Oreochromis niloticus: one gene and its partners. The protein of the gene in region 2 interacts with the protein of the main gene of each other region in a pairwise test. Links are inferred from orthologs where the notes say so. Each region holds a gene or a part of one and is shown on either strand. Other genes may lie near its edges.

The links.
Region 1: the proteins of nupr1b (region 2) and ranbp1 interact in a two-hybrid assay, tested with the Homo sapiens proteins (2 studies listed by BioGRID and IntAct). The link is inferred for Oreochromis niloticus from reciprocal best matches to the Homo sapiens genes NUPR1 and RANBP1.
Region 3: the proteins of nupr1b (region 2) and stx18 interact in a two-hybrid assay, tested with the Homo sapiens proteins (2 studies listed by BioGRID and IntAct). The link is inferred for Oreochromis niloticus from reciprocal best matches to the Homo sapiens genes NUPR1 and STX18.

What each region holds. Positions count from the first base shown.
Region 1 is NC_031977.2:9,594,875-9,602,645, forward strand, and holds the start of ranbp1 (ran-specific GTPase-activating protein), read right to left. Parts: upstream 3,683-7,771; 5' UTR 3,533-3,682; coding exon 3,518-3,532; intron 3,434-3,517; exon of another isoform or gene 3,116-3,433; intron 2,157-3,115; coding exon 2,023-2,156; intron 1,941-2,022; coding exon 1,783-1,940; intron 1,139-1,782; coding exon 1,010-1,138; intron 915-1,009; coding exon 846-914; intron 556-845; exon of another isoform or gene 427-555; intron 1-426. Other genes in the region: trmt2a (tRNA (uracil-5-)-methyltransferase homolog A), read left to right, coding at 5,561-6,183, 6,291-6,399, 6,626-6,807, 7,060-7,174, 7,260-7,375, 7,491-7,602. UniProt on the Homo sapiens protein: Plays a role in RAN-dependent nucleocytoplasmic transport. Alleviates the TNPO1-dependent inhibition of RAN GTPase activity and mediates the dissociation of RAN from proteins involved in transport into the nucleus.
Region 2 is NC_031969.2:33,682,361-33,689,756, reverse strand, and holds nupr1b (nuclear protein 1b), read right to left. Parts: upstream 2,541-7,396; 5' UTR 2,459-2,540; coding exon 2,362-2,458; intron 2,284-2,361; coding exon 2,156-2,283; 3' UTR 2,148-2,155; intron 896-2,147; 3' UTR 778-895; downstream 1-777. UniProt on the Homo sapiens protein: Transcription regulator that converts stress signals into a program of gene expression that empowers cells with resistance to the stress induced by a change in their microenvironment.
Region 3 is NC_031970.2:27,530,917-27,538,756, reverse strand, and holds the start of stx18 (syntaxin-18), read right to left. Parts: upstream 3,427-7,840; 5' UTR 3,353-3,426; coding exon 3,200-3,352; intron 1-3,199. UniProt on the Homo sapiens protein: Syntaxin that may be involved in targeting and fusion of Golgi-derived retrograde transport vesicles with the ER.

The DNA of each region.
Region 1 (7,771 bases), on a different chromosome or scaffold from region 2:
TACAGCTATGAATGTTCTGTGTTGTATAAATATAACCTAAAACACCAATTATCAAAAATAAGGATAACCCAATAAAACAACTGAAATTGAAACACTGACTGATATTTATGTGCTTACAGACAGGCAATATTGGATCATTCTCCTCAGTAAGAGGCACATACATGTAAACCCTAAGGTAAAATTAGAACCAGATGTTTACAGTCATTAGGACGACAATCAGGTGTAAGCAAAATGTGTGGAAATGTATCAAGAAAAAAAGGGCTAGGTAGCAAGACAATGACTCTCAGCATACACATAGTTCTCTTGTCAAAGAAGAATTACATTTATGGTTTGAAAGGTGCAAAAGTACCGTAGGCTTACTCGGCAAACTCTACAACAGTCTAACCTTTCAATGACACGAACACCATGGGCCTGTGAAAACTGAATTGTAATGTAGCAGAACATACCGACACCAGTCTTTTAGAAAACCAGTAAAGTGTTACATTCTGCGTGTTCATGTAGCAGACAGAAAAAGTCCCCAGCTGAAGTTGGCAGCAGAGAACAGAGTGTGTCTGCATGCTCACAGCTCCTGTCCTTATGTCACGTTACTCTCAGTTTGAATTCAGTCTTAAATCAATACAAGTCACTTTAACCTTAGAAAAATGTTGCATTCAGGCTTCTGAAAGTATTTGCTACTCACATGTTTCCAAGTAAAATTACTGACAATTCCTATCTAATGTTCATGTGATCTACATTATGGACTATTTTATGTTGAGAAAACTGTTTTACTTCACTTGCTTCTCAGAAAATTCACATATTTAATTATCTAGAGAAAAAAAAACCCTAAAAGTTTAGGCTTCATGTACCCGTTTGCTCTAGATGTTTTCTGACTTCCTCCTTGCACTCATCAAACTTCACCTTGAACTTCTGAGCATCTGTAAACAGAACATAATGTAACAATTTAAAATCCAAGTTAAAAAGCTCTGGGAGAATTGATGTGTAATGTTGAAGTGGGTACCTAAATACTTACTTTCAGCATTTAAAAAGCGGATTGCCAGAAGTTCGGGTTTGGGGCATTCATCTGCATAATCAGCTAGTGTGTTCCACACCCATGCTCTGTCACTGCCAGCATTGGGCTTCAGCTCCATCATTGGTAAAACTGTGGTTAACAAGAACACATTAAGTGCAGGTATGACCACAGTCACTAAAAGGGATTTGTTTTAAAAATCTAGTAGTTTGCCCCCTCCCCATCTAGTAGTTTCATAGGGAATTAGACACACAGGTGCACCATTTCTTTATCTCCCCTCAGGAGTGAATGGAAGAGTAAAACACTCATGTATCTCAAGTCAAACACACACACACACAAAATAAATAAATAAAAAAAAATAAATAAATAAATAAAAAAAAAATCACAGTCTGGATTGTATCACAACCGGATGAGATTACAAGCCCCAGTACCTCCAACACCCACACCTCAACCTCTCGTTTCCTCATCTATAGTTCTGTTGTTGCCACTAATACCAGGGATTTCACTCATTTAACCATTGTGGGGAAGGGGGACGGGGGGATCACATGGGGCCTGTGGTCTTTTTGTATTTACATGTACATCAGAAAATGTTTGCAATAAAACCAAGAAAAAAAATCCTTGGACACACCAGTCAGTGAGCACACCCAGGATTTAAATAACACATCTTCACACCACTCTACCTGTACCACCACTCAGAAATATTGTTTAGGTTACATATGGCCAATTGTTGTCATGACATGAACAGCAATGAAATCAGATTTCTCAATTTGACTCACTGTGATGGTTGGCACAGATCTTTAAAGTTCGATCTCTCCTCATCAGGAGGCGGATTGTGCCCTTCTCTTTGTGTTTCAGCAGCTTGACGTCTCCAGTTCCTCTCTCCTTCCACTCTGGCGGGTCGTTTTCAGAGGCAAAACGATATAGTTTGGCCCGCCTATGAAAACAGCAGAACACCTCAGTATTTCGAAACTGATCAATGTATCTCAGTTAATGTGTTCACATGGTAAGCAACTTGCATTTTAAACAGCTCCTCCTCATCCTCCTCTAATGTTTTCACATCCTGCTCAGGAAGAGACACGATGGGCTCAAAGTGGGGATCATGATTAGAGTCTTCTGCACCATCTGCAGTGGTATCGTGGTCTTCCTGGTCCTAAGAGGAAAAGCACATTAAATTAACTCAATTCCCCCCCCAAGAAACTACATGGTTTTAATGTCATTCTTTAAATTCAACATTTGAATTCTAACAAATGAGCCACAGAGGATGAATTCTTCACTAGTGTTAATAGAGTTCAGTGTTAAAGATCCATCATTTTCTTCCACTTATCCAAAGGCTCTCAAATACAAAACTGATAGACAACAAACGTATTTAATATTAAAAAGTTAAAGAGAATAAAGATGCTAACTATTAAAACCATTGGTCAACCAGACTTAAGTGATAAAATCGACCTGAGCTATTATAAGCATCAATTAACTAATTATTAAAGGGACACTTTATTCTTACCTGCTGCTAGCTTTGTTTGCAAGTACACTGGCTACCCGCATAGCAAGTTAGCACTAACCCAATATATCGCTTAAGTCTTTTCTAATACAGGTATCCTAACATTAACATGACTGACATTATTAAATAAAAATCAGTACCACCATATTTCAATTAATGCTGTCACTGTGTTGGATATTTAGACGCATACTGTAAAACTTTGCTAAAGTTGTAGCTTTTACTTTATTATTGTCATCAAATACTTATCCAACTTTATTTTTTCCTAAGACAACTCGTTGTGAACTTGCCTAGCTAGAAACACAGGCCTTTCACTAGCCGGCTAGCCCGGAGCTACCAATCGGACTTTCTCTTTTCTTGCACCTCTGTGCATTTTGCTCAGCACAACCGCCGTATTTTTTCATTAACTTGTGTGATTTTCGGCCAGTCTATTCAATGTAACACCGTCATTGCTAACAGACAGTAAACAGCGCCCTGCTATAGCGCTAACACTAGCTAACTAATGTTAGCAAGTATTGTGCTTGGCAGACAAAGGCAAGCAACCTAGCTAACCTCGTTGCCCTGAGCTAGTGAGAAGTATACTAACTGAAAAATACCCCGTTTAAAAAACTGACCGTTGTGATCGTCTGGTAGAAGCACTAATGTTCTTTCGCACATCACCTCCCTATGCTAATGTTCACAGTATGAAGCTAATGTTAACACGTTTGCTGGCTGGACACTTTGAATTACTGAGCTCGTGAACTGTAACGGAAGTGTTAAGAGTGGAAAATTTTACAACGGTTACACTGTGCATTTTCATAAGTCCATTGGCGTTCCGTTACCTTTTACATCACTAAAAAAATATCAATTAGTGGATCATAGCATCACCAAAGACAAGATGATTGTCGGCATTTCTTGCACACGGCTTCCTTTCGAAACTTTGACAAATTATGACACATGAAAAACAATGTTTGTCACAAAATTGTTATTTCCTAGCAATCATAAAGCATTACATGACCTAGAACGATAGACCTCACCTTTGGGTCTGCCATATTATTGTAGATGTTTGTAGATTATGAGAGTAGTTTGAGAGATTCAAATCCCAAACTGGCCGCCGTTTCCCTTCAGCTTCTCTCACTTCCTGCTACAGCTTTCGCGCGCCGAATTCTCTACGCATGTCCGCGCTCACGCTGTCACAGCACGCGCACCGCCTCTCTCTTCTCAGGGACAGCCGTTTTCACAAAAATGTTTTTCCTGAGATATTATTTTCAATAGAAAAACGTAACCACTTTTATCGAAAGAAAAACAGAATAACCAATAAACAAACAAACCAAAAAAACTTCGGTTTCAATAATTGTCACTTCACTTTTCGATAGGATATATTAACATGTTTTCTACAGGATCAATAACTTCTGCATACCAGTTGTAGTACCTTTATTATGTAAAATGAAATACTTGTACAACTTGAAGTGACTTTTATCCAGACTGTGACATCTGGTGGTCTGCTTGACAGCCATAGAAAAGTGCTACAAAAAGTACTAGTCCATTTACCATTTATCAATCATGGCTTCAGTGTGCAAGACAGAATACGTGTGTGAAGGAGAGAGAGACGGGGATAACAGTGAAGTTGCAAGGAGAAGAGGTAGTGAAGATAAATGAGCTTAAATACCTGCAGTCAATCATCCAAAGCAGAAAATAGTGCTGAAATACTTAAAGGCTCAACCATCTTTCTTTCTTTTTTAAACAAGTGAACTAAACAACAATATGTAATGGAGACATTACATTACAACAAAAGGACAACAGAACAAAGGAGAGATTGTGAGATATTAGTGGCATAAAGCTGAAAAGTAGTAGAAAACTTGCTGGTGAATGAAGCCAAATGTATCCTATCTAAATATTAACAGACTCTTTAAAATACACATTTCCCTCAATGAAAGCATGAAAACAGAGTTATGAGTGGTAAAAAAAAAAATTTCTAATGAAACCAATGAATGACATTATTTTCATAGTGAAGTCTGGTTTTAAGACAATCTGAAAAAAAATCACACACGATTCTTAATTGGCACATAATTGTTCTGAATCAACACACTTTTTCCAGTATGCTATATAGCATACTGGAAAAAAGTGGGACTATGGCAATATTCCATACATGTGTTTAAACTGTGTAAAGACTATACCATACATACAGCCCACTTTGATCTTAACTGGGCTTAATGTAAATGTGAAGAAGTTTAACTACACATTTAGTCCCCGAGATATCGCAATAAAAGGAAAAAAGTCATTTCAAAACCATTTCTCCGTTTTTATAAATTCTAAGTAAATGCTGTAGTAAAGAAGAAATCTGTTAACGCGATTCTTTGAGTTTAAATTGTATGAAATAAACGTGTAAAATGACAGCAAAAGTTCTGATACTCCATTGCCCAGACTGTGCCGTAATTATAAAACACAAAACAGAAATGAAATGAAATTAATTAACAGAAATTCTGTCCAAGTGACCAAAGTACACAAACTGAAAGCCGGTGGGATGCCTGTCACTTTAACAAAGTTCATAGTTCAAGCTGCACGTGCTTGAATCAACATGGCGGCGCCTGCTAGGTAGAAGTGGAGCAGAAAGTAAATACAGGCACGGGAAGGTAAGGAGCTCTCGTGAAATGTTACCGCTAGTGAAAAACAGCACGCACGCAAAGTGTTCCGTTAAAATGCCAACGTGGTTCCTTTGAAGCTGCGAAGAATGTAACTTCCTGCTCGAGCTAGCATCAAGTCTTTCAGTTTGCCGTATAACCAAAACTTAATTACTGAAAAGCAGTGAATGCATGTACTGCTATGTAGGATAAACGCATTGTTTTACATATTCACCGTGACACGTTAATTGTAGCAGTTATTTGAAAGTTACACAATACCCTAAACCAGTCTTGAGAGTAGAGCGTGCGCGTTTGAAATAGTACCACTGTGTTAAAAGTTACCAGCAACATCTAGTCTTTGGTAATCTTTATGGTACTTTTTTTTCACGTTTTAACACCGTGAATGCAAGGTCCTGATAGGCCTACCTATTGTTTGGTGTTTTAGGAATCAGCAAAGTGATGGCAGATATCACTAGCAGCCCAGTGGGCATCACTCCGCCATCCCTCTCCCTGGAGGAGAAGCCTGATGACCTCGCCAAAACTGATGCTGCCAAGCCTGATGTTCAGGCTGAAGGAGAAAGCCAGGCAGCTTCTGACCCCGGCGTGTACCGCTACATAAAAGAGGACCTGTTCACATCGGAGATATACAAAGTGGAGATCAGGAATCTGCCCAGGTTCGTAGGCTTCAATGACCTGAAGAAGTTCTTGGCCAAGCACGGCCTCAACCCACACAAAATAAAGCTGTTTGGCAGGCAGACGTTTGCTTTTGTCACCTTCAAGAACGAAGAGGAGCGCGACAAGGCCATGAAGATGGTGCACGGCATGCAGTGGAAGGGCCAGGTGCTAAGTGTCAAGCTGGCCAAACCCAAGGCAGACCCCATCTTGAGGAAGAGGAAGGAGAATGAGGGGGAGAGCGCGGGAGGCCCGCCCCCATGCAAACGAACAGATGAGGGGGACGAGGAAGAGGAGCCGCTCAGTGTCCAGATAGCCAACGTTGTGACACCTCTGTGGAACGTGCCTTATGACGAGCAGCTGAAGAGGAAGGAGCAGGAGGTGGTGGCGGTTCTGCAGAAGCTGGCCAAGTAAGTGTAATATAATACAGATTTTGTGTGATTTTATAGGTAATATTGTGCTTTTTTTTTATGGGACTTCCTTACATGTCATTACAACTTAAACCTTGATGTTTCAGAGAGATCGGCAGCACCAACAAAGCCATGGTGCCGTGGCTGTTTGCACAGAAAGGGAAATACAACAACATGTGTTGTCCTCTGGAAGCCCTCCGACCGTCTCCTATACAGGTATACTTCAACTAGTCACCTTTATTTGTCCATAAAGGCAGGTGGTGATGCAACAGTTTAAAAAAAACAAACAAAAAAACACACAAGATAAAAAGTGACTAATTAGAGATGAAAAATGGCATAGATAAGTTTATTCTGTTTCACAAGCTCTCAGCTGTTTTCATGTCTCTAAATATTGTATATAATTTAATACTCATCCTTCTGACCCTGTTTCTGATCATGGCAGACAGAGTACAGAAACAAGTGTGAGTTCCTCATATCGGTGGGTGCAGATGGCGAGGATAAAACCATCGGTTTCCGCCTGGGGAAATACAAAGGAGGCTCCTGTGCTGTGGTGGGGCCGGCTGACACGTGCCACGTGCCGCCGGAGGCTAAGAAGGTGGTCAGCGAGTTTCAAAAGTTCATCAGGTATTATTATGTGTGCTCATGAGAATCTAGGAACAATTTAGTTTGGGGAACTAAAGCTGCTTGGAAAAAGTAGTTGAACCTAAACAAAACAAGAAGATGATCAAATTCATAATGTACGTGTGATGTTATTTGAGAAATATCATACAAATTAGTCACATGCTAGCAAAAAAAAAACTGAAAGCAAGTTGTCCGAATGATTTTGTTTCTAAAAGCAACTAATTGCTCAGTCTTGCTGTGATTGTTTGCAAACAGGACAACTCCATACTCTGTGTACAGCCCAGAGACATATGAAGGACACTGGAAGCAGCTGACTGTACGTACTACGAGGACCAAACATGCCATGGCCATGGTGTTCTTCAACCCACAGGTAATGAAATGTTGAAACTGAACTCGTGCCCCATGCTTTTAAAGTTCCCCCTTTTGATTTGCTTTATTTGTTTAATGACTCTTAGAAACTTGAAGAAGAGGAACTTGGTGCTTTAAAGAACTCCATGAAGGAGTACTTCACAGAAGGAGAGGGGAAAGACAGCGGTGTGACCTCGCTGTACTTTGTTAGAGAGGGCCAAAGGTAAAACTAAACTATATGCTCAATAAGTCATAATCTGTATGAATTTAATGACTGAATGTCATCTCAATAATACTCTATTTACGTAACTCCTTTTATTTTCTTTTTGCCTGTAAAGGAAATCTCCAAATCCAGAGGATCTGCCCTGTGAGCTGGTGGCTGGAGAGAGCTGCATTCAAGAAGAAATGCTGGGTTTAAAATTCAGGATTTCTCCTCATTCATTCTTCCAGGTGAGGAAGAGCAGAAGCTGCATGTTGTGGAAGTTATTAAGTCTGGTTTGCAACTAGAATATTTCAGGATTTCTTTCTGAGGATCAGTGAACACATGTTATGGCAGGCATGGTAATTCTTTTCTGAAGTTCTGATCTCACCATGTTATCCTTCTGCAGATGGGGTGAAA
Region 2 (7,396 bases):
CACCATCCCCACTGACACAGCGGCCAGAGAGGCAGAAGGACAGCACATCAAGAAGGCCCTGAGTAAATGTGGTTATCCCAGCTGGACTTTTGTCAAAGCGAGAAGGCACCTAAAGAAAGCTCCAGCCGATCCAGGAGAGAAGGACAACCGCTGCCCAGGCGAAAACCTGTAGTGATCCCATATGTGTCAGGAGTATCGGAACAGTTGAGACGCATTTTTTCTAAACACCGGGTCTCTGTGGCTTTTAAACCCCAAAATACGCTGCGCCAAAAACTGGTCCACCCCAAGGATCGGGTCCCCCGACACAAACAGAGTAACATAGTGTACGCTGTTAAGTGCAGGAGGATTGCCAGGATGTATACATCGGGGAAACCAAACAACCTCTGGCTACAACACAGAAGAGCTACCTCATCAGGCCAGGACTCTGCAGTCTATTTACACCTACAGGCCAGTGGACACTCTTTCAACGATGAGGATGTACACATCCTGGACAGGGAGGAACGCTGGCACCAATGTCTGGTGTTTAAACATCAATGTCTGAACTTTCCAGGCTCTCTTTCCTGGCACCTCACTACATCCATCTTTTACATACAGGCTGTGTTTTTTCACTGAGGCCTAAAAGGAAGAAAAAATGAACACTCTCATTTCAGTTTAATAAGTCTTTAATCGTAAAAACAAGTTTTAAAAAACATCCTTAAGAATGAGCCATTTGCCGCCACCGCAGTCTCGGTGCGCGGTCGCGGTCCGAGCAGGGACCCAGGGGCACGCCGCCTCAGGTGAGAGCTCTCCAACACCTGCGGGCCCATCGGAGCTCAGACGCTCCTGCCATCTGCACGTGTCGTTCTGTTGCCAAGGACGCCATGGTCGGTTTCCGGGATGAGCCGTCCGAGATTCCCTGAAGTAGAAAAGAAAAATATCAAATAATTAATTAAAAGACATAAACACGAGGAGTTCAAGCATCTATTTACCACCAGCAGCACCATGTGTTAAAAATCTTTTTAAAAAAAGCTTTAAAATCCAAAATTAAACTTTTCCATAATGTTTTCTTCATCTACAGTTTCATTACGTGATCTGTCAGCTACATATACGAGTTTATCCTGTAGGATTAAATCATAATAAAGCTTAAAAATGATGTAAGAACTGTATCATTTCTAATTGACTTGCAGTACCTGCACAGGCCACCAGGAGGGCACGTAAGAAGAAAAGAGATGAGGAGGCAGGAGGAGGAAGAGGACAAGGGAGAACATGAAGAAGACGAACAGGGATGTGGAAAAGAAGGAGGATGGAGAAGGCTTGGGGTGGGGTGGGGCAAAGAAGGAGAGGAAGAGCAGGAGGAGGATTGTAAAAGTGTACAAACTGTTAGCCTCTGCCCTCTGCACCAAACCTCTACTGGATATCTGCCCATTCAAACTATGAACCTGGTGATGACGTGCAGGAGGCGAGCGGCAGGAGTTAATAAACAGTTTTGTTCTGAGGGAATTCATATTCTACGGGAAATATATGACAAATATTATAGCTAAAACAACAGCTAAGCTGTCTTTTCACTCATGACGTCACTACTATTCAACCTTAACAGTAACAAGAACAGCTGGCTTTAAATTCAGCTGTTAATTAACAGTTAATTATTGTTAATAACTGTGGAGCAAGCGCAGTTTAGGAAAATGCTTGATGTGGTTCAGTATGCTGTGTTCCAAACATTCGTTTAAAAATCGCCGATTTCAGATTCAGACCGATCCTCGAGCAAAGAAACCGAGAACAAAGATTCAAACTGGACCTCCTACACAGGAAACACGCTGTGTAAAATTCGGCGCAGGACTCGATATAAAAAGAAACTTTGGACTCTTTTCTGAGGGCTGTAAAATCAAAGTGTGGCAGCAAAAACCGCTGCGGGAGAGGCTTAAATTCAAACAATCGTAAAGGAAGTTCTGCACGCGGCGCGTCTGGCGTCACGTTTGCCCTGTTCCAGCGTTCCAAATAGCCACAGACCAGACAGCGTTCAGAAATCTGCCCGTTTTTAAGTGTTTATGGCCTCTGTCAGTGCAAACGGACTCGTGTGAGTCAGACGACTTTGCTCTGGCTGAAACTGCATTCCTACTTTACTTCGGCGCACAGTCACTGACACACAAACACGGTTTTCCAGGGTTTACCTCAGTATTCACTCCTTGGCTTTCTTCTCGCTGTTCTGGAGCTTCTCCACGATCTTGCGCTCATGTCCTGCGGGGTTGTGTCTGTTGGTGTTGTCGCTGGCCTCCTTCTTTGTCCTGCCCTTCCGAGCCGAACCTTCTGCAACAGAAAAACTAAAGCAGTGAGTTTTCCGGGCCCGGAACACGAACCGGACGGAACCAGGACAGGGTAGCTCACCTGCGTATTTATCCGTCAGGTTATAGTACTCGTACTCGTCGTAGTACTCGTCCTCAAACTTGGTGGGCTTCATGTTTTTCACGTCGACGTGACTCATGTTTGTTTTTCTAGAAGTTTGTCAGAGATCTTTGCGTCTGCGTAGTAAGCCTCAGTGTTCGCAGGTTTGTCTGTTTTTCGTCTTTCTGTGTTTGTTTATATATGAGAAGCATGCACCTCCTCCTCCTCCTCCTCCTGACTCCTCCTGCAGGGCTCCTCTTTCCTCTGCACTAATGTTGCATCAGCCACAGAGCTGCAGCCTCTGCATAACAAGATTAAGAACACACTCTTTGTGTTGAATACACAACTTTTTATCTCATATTTCTACATTTTATTTATTCAAAGTCACATTCAGTATTTCTTCTCATAGTTTTAAACCTTTGTTTACATAGTTATTAGCTCTCGTTGGTTTTTACAGCTAATTTAAACTTATTTGACTGTATACTCTTGTTTTGGTACTTTTTATGTACCCACCAAGGTATCCTAACTTTCCTTAACCTGTCCTGTTTTTGACCATGAAGCTTGTGTTATCTTCATCACATGCCTGTGACACCTGTGTACGTGGACTCTGGTCCTGTGACTCACTGTGAGACCCGACCTTGGTTCCCGCAGATGATCCCGGGTCTGTTTTCCTTGGTTATCAGCAGCTGCTGTGGTCACATGACCCTGACCTGGTTCATGGTGTTTATCTAACGCTGCTCCAACTGCACTGCAGGCCGTGACAGCAGATCAGAGTCATCCTGCAGAAATGTTTCCATTAATGTGACCGAGGCTCATCTCCAGAAGCTTCACTGTGACTTTTGGAGCCTGGCTTTTCGGTTTGTTTCCTCTCATCACTCTCATCACTCAGACATCCTTTCAGACATGATTGTAACCGTTTCCACTTTTGTTTTTCATATCAGTTTAAATACTTACTTTTTTGGAAAAACATGCAGCGAAAACTGAAGACGCTGCTGAAGGATTCAAAGCAGCATGAAAGGGCCGCTGCAGTTACTGCATATATTAGCTTTGTGTCCTTGTGTTCACATTTAAACTGAGTTATCTAATCTGTGTGGAACAAACTTTGGACTGAGCGTCTCAGAGGAACAAACAGAAGAACGAGCGCTTTGTTGTCTGCTCGTGTTTGAGAGTCAGGACATTTTTACATTTGGGCTGTAAAACACTTCAGCTCAGCACAGGTGTCACTTTCTGAGCAACTGAAGCTGTTTCAGGTGGTTTGTGCTGTAAACAGCAGCAGGAGGAGTCAGGAGGAGTCGGGAGGAGTCGGGAGGAGGCTTCTCAGACTCCTCGTGAGCGACGTGACTGAGCCGGCTGCAGAGGAGGATGTGAGACTGCAGGAACGTTTTCCTGAGTCATGGCGTGTCGTAAACATGACCTCCTGACACACAGACACAGACACACACAGACACAGACACACACACACACAGACACACACAGACACACACACACAGACACAGACACACACAGACACACACAGACACAGACACACACAGACACACACACAGACACAGACACACACAGACACAGACACACACAGACACACACAGACACAGACACACACAGACACACACACACACACAGACACAGACACACACAGACACAGACACACACAGACACACACACACAGACACACACAGACACACACACACAGACACAGACACACACAGACACACACACACACACACACACAGACACACACAGACACACACACACAGACACACACACACACACAGACACACACACACAGACACAGACACACACAGACACACACACAGACACACACACACAGACACACACAGACAGACACACACACACAGACACACACACACAGACACACAGACACACGCAGACACACACACACAGACACACAGACACAGACACACGCAGACACACACACACAGACACACACACACACACACACACACACAGACACACACACACACACACAGACACACACACACAGACACACACAGACACAGACACACGCAGACACACACACACAGACACACACACACACACACACACACACACACACACACAGACACACACACACACACACAGACACACACAGACACAGACACACGCAGACACACACACACAGACACACACACACAGACACACACAGACACAGACACACGCAGACACACACACACAGACACACACAGACACAGACACACGCAGACACACACACACACACACACACACAGAGACACACACACACAGACACACACACACAGACACACACACACACAGACACACACACACACACACAGACACACACACACAGACACACACAGACACAGACACACGCAGACACACACACACAGACACACACACAACTTTTAAACCTTGAATTGAATTTTCTGCTTTTTAGATTTAAACCCATCACACGTGTTTGTTTATCATTCATAAGTTTTATTTTTTATCTTATAAATTTATTTGTATCTTTTCTGACTCAGGAAGTCGAATCTTTCCGATGATGATTTTGTGTTTTTAGCAGCAAACTGTGGACGATCATGTCTTCATGCTGCAGCTCCGACTCAGTGAAACATGATTTTTTGACGTTTTGACGTCGAGCTGAAATCTCGTTATTCTGCTGAATCAGGGAAACTTCTGTTTCTGTACTTTCTCTCCTCACGTTTGACTGTTTATCTCACAGTTTGAAATATTTCATGAATAACTGACTTTTTTCATGAAATCAACCTTTTATCATGTTTATGTCGCAGCTCTAAGTCACGGCTGCATGTTTACACGTTTTAAACCGAGTGTGTAATCTGCAGGATCTGAGCTCAGGATGTTTTCTTTGCTGCAGACGTGTGCGCAGTCACATGTGCGAGGCGTGTCGCGCTCCCACTGAACACACAGGTCACAGATATCAGCTGATATCAGCAGGTAAACATTAACTGCGGCTGAAAACTTGCTCAGGTGTTTTCATCTTCATGAATCCTTTTACTGCACGTTACACGCACTAACACAGCTGTAAACATTTCCTTTTAAATCTCCTGAAATTGTTTCATTTATTTATTTCATTCACCTGAGAGGCCGAGGTCACTGATCGTTGGACATGTTGAGGGTTTAGGGTGCACGTGCGTCCTCTCGTGCACGCGAATCATTTTGGTTTTTCTGAGTTTTAGTATTTTTACAGCTGGCCTCCATCACAGTGCTGCTTCTTTGAACCAGTGTTTCCAGTTTTTATCCGTCTCAAACCAGCACAGCCTTAGCCACCTCTGATTTACTAAAGTCAGGGCCCAAAGTTTGTACTGACGGGTTAAATATGAAAAATGTACAGTGCAAAAGACGAACAGTGATGATTACTTAACGTGTCATAATAGAATTCCATGTATGTAAAATAAAGCATGCAGAATCATTTTAACATGAAATGATTGAACAGTTTTAATTCAGACAGAGATTTTTCAGACACTTTGAATGTTTTAGTTCTTCTGATTTTTGGATGTTTGGAAGTGAAACACAAACTGAAACAAACTCAGCGACGTCTAAAAGACTCTCATACAGTTCATATGAAAGTAATCCCATTACTTTACTGTTTACTTATTTTCAAAAGTAATTAGTTACTTAATTACTTTTTAAAACATGATACACAACCTGAATTCGTAATAAAGCAACAGACGTTTCAGCCCAAATTTATTTTTTCTGCATAATCCATCATATAAAATGTAACCAAATGAAAAAGTCTCTTTTTATAAATTGTTTTATTTGTTTTCATCTTTATGCACAATGAATTAAGCATGAATTAAATTATATCCATCAGTCTTTGACTTTAACATTTAAACCTATTTCCTGCATATCCCAGCATATAAAAATAATAAATATTGTTTTGTGTTTACACTCTTTCAAATAGATGCAAGTAAAACACAGCAGGAAATAAATAAAATCAAAGATTCAGCAGCTCTGAGTCCTGTCGCTCTTAAATCTATTGTCACCTGTTTAGCAGGAGTGGGGCGGGTGGAGGTTTGCCCACAGCGGTCATGTCAGTGGGAGGATCCGGGGGTTTCTCTGTGAGTGTCACATTCCCGTGGCGGCGTGCTCGCTGCTCAAAGTTGAAGTTTAATTCTTTGCTGTAGAAAGAAGTTTTCTTCCCACGCAGAGTGAACAGCAGACGCTGATGTTTTTGTCAGTTTTTACAGAATCAAACTCAAAGTAATGTGATTACTTCCACGCTTTAAACGCTGCATGGTCGTACTCTCTCCATCACTCCATGTTATCCACGGTTGATCTGCACACGTCTGTTGCTGCCACAGACATCGCACACACTCGCACATCATTGTCATGAGACACTCTCACAAACAAAATCACGGTTTAATAACGCGAAAGTAATGGTAATCTAATTACTTTTTTGCAATCTTAATCCCTTACTTTACTTGTTACTTGAAAAAGTAATCAGATTACATGTTACTGCCCACCACTGGTGCAAAAGAACTCAGTCTCTTACCTTCAGTTGAACATATCTAAAACAAAGACATGGTTTCTGACTTTAGGCCACAGAGATGGAGCGAGAAAGAAGCACAGAGGGTCACCGGCACCCTCACTGCCAAAGGGAACTTGCTCATTTCCACACTGACCGAGGAATTCTAATTTATTTTTATCTCTTTGTTTGGTGGCATGGTTCAGTCAGACCTCTGCCACAGAGAAAAATGCACTGAGTCACATAGTGAGATGGTCCAGGCGTCTGACAGGTGAGTCACAGGGTAACCCCTCTATGGGGTGAACTGCCATCACTGAACTTAATAAGAACTGTTTTTTGATTTGATTCATCTCGTCTAATTACCAAAACAGGTGTGTGTTGCCAAACACATTTTTCAGTAAAGCAAATTTACCTACAGGTGTAAATAAAGTAACCTCGAACCTTCTCCACAAAAGTGAAGAAAAAACATTTTTATGCAACTTTCATGCCAGATTGAACAAATATGACAGGTTGTACCACAGAAACAGAAATCTTGTCTTTTCCAAAGAAAAACAACAACTGGAGTTTCCAGAAGAA
Region 3 (7,840 bases), on a different chromosome or scaffold from region 2:
CATAAAATGAAATTTGAATTGTTTAAAAAGAAAAAAATAAAACACACTGGAGTTGGAAACTTAACCATCATCGAAAAAATTGTGACTAAATGTTATGAAAATACTAGAGCATACCATTTCACTGTAAAGTTTTCACAGTGAAGAGCCCCTCTAACAACACAACATAATTTTAAGAGCTGGCCCACTTTTCAGTGTTTCAAAGAAAACAGTGTGAGAAGGAGCCAATTTTGGAATACCAATACTGAAGGCAGAGTGGGGAGCCAAACGCTATTTTCTACACCCAATTTGACAATTTCAGAGTGACCTTCCCCATTTAAACTTGAGAAGGGTAGCATGCTGCGGAGAGCGACGAGGTGAGCGGTGAAACGGAGATCACAGCGCCCAAAACCAACCCCTATGAGGTAAAAGATTCCCCTTACCAAACCCCACCCTGCAAACACTGGCCCTCTTATTAGTCAATCAAACCCTTTTTGAATCGACTTGAAAGTAGCTACATTTCCTTTCTCATTGTGTTGACTTTTGAGTGGAAAAAGAAAAAAGTCTCAGAGGTCCACTGTGTATTTGTCAACTTTGATGTTTTCTTTCTATTTTTGCGAAGCTTCAATGGGAATTTAGGAGGGAGAGTTAGTGGGAGAGTTATGCATGTCTTGAAGGGCACCCACATCTGTTGTGCATTAGGTGCCGGCCGTCAACATTGTTACTGGGGACCTAATTTAATATTTTCTCTGTTTTGATCTTCCACCTTTAATCACTGGCTCTTGGGAGGATCAGCTTTCCCCAGAAATTGTTTGAGAGCCGAAAGAAAATGTTATTGCAGCATGTTTACGGAATCATACATGGGAAGAGGCGACCTGCATAAAAATTACTGCCTATGTGATGCTGAATAGAGACAGAAAAGGATAGCTGAGCTGGGGAGACGTGGGTGAAAACCGCGACATAACTGTAAGCAGTCAGGACATTCCAAGCTCACATTTTCAATTTAGGCAAAAACGGCTTCACTGAGATGGTCGGAGATGATATCTGCAACGCGAAGGAGACAGCCACCACAGGATAGGTTTGGGTTTCTCTTGAATAAGCAGCAGTGCCTTTATTAAACCACCATTTGTAATATCAATGTAACAGAACATAACAAAAACCTGGTTGTGCAAAGCTGCAGCAAATGGGCTTATGTTTGCCTCGGGCTGATGGCTGGAGACATCGGGTACAACTTAAAGCCCTGACTCCCCTTGGGATACGTAAAGTGGTTCTTCAAGGTACCTTTGAAGAGGTTTGTTTTTGAGATATTCATGTCAGGCCAAAGAGCAGCAGTAGAAGTATAAGCAACATGTACACTGCTAGATCTTGTACCGTCAACCATAGAGGATAGGTCTGTATTTCAGTGGAAAAAGATCATTTAAGATGTTTCATAAAATGAGATCCAAAGCTGTTTTTCCCCAATATATTTAGTCTTATGTGAAATCCTACAAATAAATTGATATTATTACAGTATTAGAGGAGATGAAGTCAAAATTCCATTACTGACAGTGTATTAAAAAGCTAGAATTTTTCAGTGAGACCAAGGTCATTTTAACTGGGTATTGCCAGAAAACTAAGAAAGGAAGAAAAGAAAAACATACTTCTTCAGTCGTGTAGCTGTTCATATTTATATGGTTTCTGAAAAAAATATAAACTGCTGATCCAAGCGTGTAAAACTTTTTCTGAATATCAGTTGCAGGCTTTGTGTTGTGGAAAATAAATTGCACAATTTACAATTAAACTGCAATATAAATGAACTGTTCTGATGAAAAGAAGAGGCTTCACTGAGTTCAATGCTATAAAAAGTGTTTTTTGTTTTTTTTTACTTTTAGCTTTTATTGATTAATCTATAGGAAGGCTATTGATGTGACAATTTTGTCCTTGAGTGATTTTTTTTCATGATAATTTGGTCAGATATGAGAATACAGACTGGGAGACTGCACACCAGCAGCTATGAAACAACATTTCTGGCTTATTTCTCTCCCTGCGTTGCCCACATCTATCAATCTGTGCCAAGACTGTTTTTCATGAAGTGGAGTATGCACTTATAATAACTGCATACTCCAACAAATGCAGTTATTATAATAATAACCAGGAATTGTAAAACACAGTTGAGCACACGTAGTAAGCCTGGGCATCCCCAGATAACTTTAATGAGTGAATATTGTATTCTTAACGCCTGGCTACAAAATACTAAATAAAAGTTCAATGTGAACAAGGTTTCTCATCTGTAAAAGTTACCTGTAGATTACCAAAGTATATACAGGAAATGGCATAAGGTGAGTATTTCTCTTGCACTCTGATGTGTTTGTTTCTAATTTCGTCTAACCTGGTGACTCCCAGTGAAGTCTTAAGTCTTAAGAAGTCTTAACATCTTCAGTTCGGCCTCCGGTCGTTTTTGTCAGTGCCACCACCTCCAAGCCATACATCATAGTAGGTCTAGTCTTGCAAACCTTCCCTTTCCCTCTTGGTGCTATCCTTCTCTAACAAATCACCCCTGATATTGCATCAACCTTCTTCACCCTGCCTGCAAACTCTTTTTCACACCTCTTATGCACTATCCATTGCTTTGGATGGTTGACCCCAGATACCTAAAGTAATCAAACTTCAGTACCTCTGCTCCTTGCAGCTTCACTGTTACACCTGTCTCCCTCTCATTCACACACATGTATTCTGTCTTGCTTCTACTGACTTTCATCTTCTCTCAAAGCATACCTGCACATCTCCAGGCTCTATTTCACCTGCTCCCTACTCTCAGTACAGATCATCAAAGCCGTCAACAAACGATTAACTGGCCACTTATCGTATTAGTCAAAAAGAGCAATAATCAAATCCTATATATTTTAAATCTCAACATATCATAATATTATGTAATCTATGACACATTTTGAATATAATTTGCATATATTCAATGTAAATTTTTAAAAATCTAATCAAATTTAAGTTCATACTGCATTTAGCAAAGTTATAGCCTGCACATGTTGACAGGCCCGGCTAACCACGAACAGCGCCAACACACTAAAGAAAATACAAGTGGTAAGCATCGTATATGCACTGTATATGTTCCACTGGCTGCTGTTGCTCCTACAAAGTAGTAGTAAGTTTAGAAGCTGCCATTAAACGTAAAGCACTTTGGCCACTGTGCTAGCAGAGTTAGCTAACGCTAGGCTGGATGAACACTCACCACTTCTTTCGCCCTCGGTGAGAAGCCACTCTTCGGTCTGCTTCTCTTGAAAATTTCATCTTTGGTCGAGTCGAAGCCAATTCCTATGGCTTTGTTCCTGGTTTTGACCGTCTTAACGCTGGCTTTGAAAAGTAGCGTGATATCAACAGCCATGTCTGAGCAGCTGCAGCCGACTGCTCACCGCTGTAAACAAACTGACACGTCACCCGGTGAGGACGTCATCTTCGTGGGACGCGCTAGATTTTTCCTGTAATACGGGTACGAAAGCGTTACGTTTCACCTTAAAGATTTCATCAGTATTTATTTATTATAACTAATATTCAGATCATAATAATTGAATTCTGCCAGAGTCCGATCGTATATTTAAATACTGGTCGCTTAGAATCAACTCTTATAGGGAAAATCTTTAAATATCTTTAATTTTAAAAAAATCTCTTAATATTTTAACTGAAACCTTGAGTCTGAAAGCATTAACTTGAAGCCTTTACCTGTATGTGCCACGAATCAAAATTTCAGCTTTGTTTTAGGCATGTTTTAGGGAGCACCAGTATAACAGATAATCCATCACAGATAATCAATCTGTGTGTATCTCCATTAGATAATTGCCTCTAAAGGCTCTTGAAGTGATGTCCAGCAGAATGCAGGAGAAGAGAAACAGTCAGAAGAAAATATAACACTGGAGAATACAAGGGACAAGTCTGGGAAACGACAGTCCAAACCATAAATGCTGCCATCCCACAGGTCCATTGTACAGTTTCAGAGTGCAACAAAAATGGGAAAATCTGATTGCAAATACAAGGGAGGAGATCAAACGACAGAAATACACAGAGGTAAAGGTGAGGAAAATCAACGTGTTGAAGCAAAATTTATAGGATAGTGAAAAACAAGGAAAAAGCATTTAAACATAGAGAGACAAAGTAGGGAGTATGCATGAATGATTTAATCAACTTGCTATATTTATCAATAAATAATGCAAGCAATGATTCTTTGTTAACAGATAAAAGCCTGTCCATTGAGCAGTTCATTACAGAGACCCGAACAGTTATTTCTGTAATGAACCTCTGAGACGTGCTACAACAAGAGAGATACGACTCTTTAGCCCCACAGCTGATGGAAACTCTTAGTTTATCAAATCAGAACGAGTTTTGGGGATTATTTACTGAAGGTTTTCTGAAAGATTGCCCATTCATTTAAAATTTAAAATAACATTTATCAGATAAATTAATGGATAAAAGTTTTTATTCATGCTGTGTTAGAGATGAAAATATTCCCACAATAGATGAAAGATTCCCAAACAAGAAGCAGCTGACACAGTGACAGCTCCCCACATATACGAATATACGAATCTCTGCAGCAGAACCAAAGATGGCATTTAGTAATGTAGCTAAATCACTGACGGTGCTGTTGAGAACGCCACATGCTACTGACATTACCGACTCTAGTGAACATCTGGATACTTCTCATTTTACTTCTCTATCACCAGCACACCGCACAATCAACAAATTAAACTATACAGTTTATCATTTTAAATGTGTGGTTTTTTCTGTGAAACGATACGAAATATTTAGTCTGAAGGAAGACACTAGTTTTGTTCCACCTCACTAAGGAGGTGTAAGATACCTCCTGACCTGGTGAGCTATAAGAATATTTATATGCCAGTGCATTTTTAAAATACACACATTCAACTTATTTCCGAGTTTTCTGCCACCTATGAATGCAACCCGTGTTCCTACCAATGGGCTGATTTATGCTGTGTGGGATTTGTTGGATGGTTTTCAATGTCTTTGTGGAGACTTGTGCTCAGAGACTGTGCAATTTCTGAGCTGTGCAGTGCAGTTTTTCTACACTCCCTCTACCTGGTAGCAATGTGATGAATAAGGAAATGTTTTGATGTTTATACTGACAGATGATGGCTGCATGTTGGTGCTAATCAAAACTAATATTCATGCCAGAACTTCTGTCTGTTGTTCTAATGATTATATTTTGGTATTGTATTGTAACTGCCACAATAATGAGTGATTGTCAGTACAGTCAAAACAAACAAACAAACAAAAAAACCCCAGTTAATGCAGTGTGGTAGAATTTTGTTGTCTGTTTATATTAAAGTACATCAGTGTAATTACTGGAGGCTAAGATGCATAATAGCTTTGCTTTTCCTCCTGATTACGCAATTTGTCGTGTAAAAAGAAAATCAACACGTTAACTCAGAGCGCTTGTTATCACTAAAAATCTCCTGAAAGATACTGTATTTACTTTAAACTTTCCATTCAAGACTGCATTTAAGCTTGTGTTATTTGTTTTTTTGGAATGGACATGAAGTTTTAGATTTTAAAGATAATCCATGTTGCAGTTACTGATCAACAGTAGTTATAGTAAAAGAATGGGGGGTGGATCTAAATTGCCTGTACATATGAATGTGAATGATTGTCTGGCTCTCCCGGTTAGCCCTGTGACAGACTGGCGACCTCTCCAGCCAGCCTGTACTCTGCCTCACACCCTATGACAGCTGGGGTAGGTTCCAGCCCGTCTGTGGACTTGAATTGGATAAGCAGAAGAAATTGGATGGATGGATGTAGTACTTGGGAGCAATATAGTGAAAACAGCAATATAGTGCTTTTTGGTGAAGTGGCACAGTGTTTTAGCACTGTCACGTTACAGCAAGAAGAGCCTGGGTTTGAATCCACTAGCTGGCTGGAGACTTTCTGTGTGCAGTGTGTATGTTCTCCCTACAGTATGTTACTATGGGTTCTCTCCAGGTACTCCAGTTTCCTCCTACAGACATGCATGTGTTAGGGTAATTGGTCATTCTAACTCTTTCCACAGGTGTGAATGAGCACAAATGGTTTTCCCTCTGTGTTAGCCCTGCAAGAGACTTGCACTGTGTACCCTGCCTTTTGCCTTCTGGTAGCACAGATCCAAGACCTCTTGTAACCCTGGATTAGATAAACAGAAGAAGACGGATGATTAAATGGCCACATAAAGAAAATTTTATGTAATATTTAAATATTTTTGCAGGGAATGAGTTATCCCAAATAAATACTGAATTTCAGTTATTTTCACATTCGGCTTTTCTTTGTAGGAGGCAAAATTTGTCTCTTTCTTCTTCTGTTAGAAATGTAGTTTATTTGCTGAGTCACCTAATTCACTCTTAAGTGCAAATTTGGAGACTGTCAAGATTTGACATATACAAATATACATATTCATAAAACTCCAGCCTAATCTTGCCAGTATAAGTAAAGCTAGAATAATGTCCTGTCTAGACAAATGTAGCAATTTGTGTGTACTATTTCTCATAAATCTGTTTATTTGCAAGTGACTGGGATTGGCACTCAGATATAAGCAGTTGGGCTTAGAGTGTTGAATAAAAGTCTGTTATTTGCTATGTGGTTTGCTCATTTCCTTTGTTAGTGTTGTGCCAGACTGTTTTACAGCTGAGTGCTGCGACTGTCTCACCCTTTCTGCAGTCTCAGCATTTAAAATTCTTATAGTTTTGACTTTAGTAAGAGTGTATGTCTTGAAGCATGGTGTGCATGGGCACGCACAAAGGAATGATTGCCTTTAAGATGCCAAAATGTGCTGCAAGAAATCTAACCGATCGCTGAATTTTCACTACGGTACGCATCACACTTTACTAAGCTAGAAGAAAAAGGTGACTGAATGAAGTTTCAGGAGCATATTTTCTTTCATAGATCCACTATGTGGTCCTTTAAGTGCAAAAAGCCATTCTTTCTGTAATTAAATTTGCTCTCTAGTGTAGCGGGTCTGAGCTTTAATAGAGCTTATTGATGAGCTACCCTTCACTTTAAGGGAATATGCTAAAAGTCATAAACTGGATGCAGTATATCAAGCTGTTTTTTTCTATTAGCATTCCCAGCTGTTTAGTTATCACTTCTAGCTTATTAGAGTGGCATGAAAAAGTATTTACCTCCTTTGTGAGTTCTGAGTTTTGTTTTTGCATTTGTCAAACTTAGATGTTTCAGTTTCATCAAACAAATGTTAACATTTGACAAAGATAATCTGAGAAAATACAAAATGCAGTTTTTAAATGATGATTTGTTAAGGGGGAAAAAAGCTATCCAAACTTATCCTGGCCTTGTGTGAAAAAGTAATTGGCCCCTTGTTAAATTATAAATTAACTGTGATTAACCACAATTTTTTGGAACACAAACAAGTTCAGTTTCACTAAACACACCCAGGCTTGATTACTGCCAGACCTGTTGAATCAAGAAATCACTTAAATAAAACCTGTCTGACAAAGTAAAGGAAGCTAAGAGATTTCAAAGAGCAGCACATCATGCCATATTTTAAAGTCATTGGCATCTGTCAGTCTGGAAAGTTTTACAAAGCAATTTCCAAGTCTTTGGGACTCCAGCAAACCCCAGTTAAAGCCATTATCCACAAATCAAGAAAACTTAGGACAGTGTTGAACCTTCCCAGGAGTGGCCAGCCTGCTAAAATTACTCCAAGAGAACATCAACAGCTCATCCAGGAAAAAAAACCCTCACTTGCCATAGTTAAGGTCAGGGTTCAACAATAAGAAAGAGACTTTCACACAACACAAACACAAAAGCTCGTCTCACATTTGTGAAAAAAGGAAAAAAAAAAAGCATCTCTAAGATTATCAAGACCTTTGGGAAAATA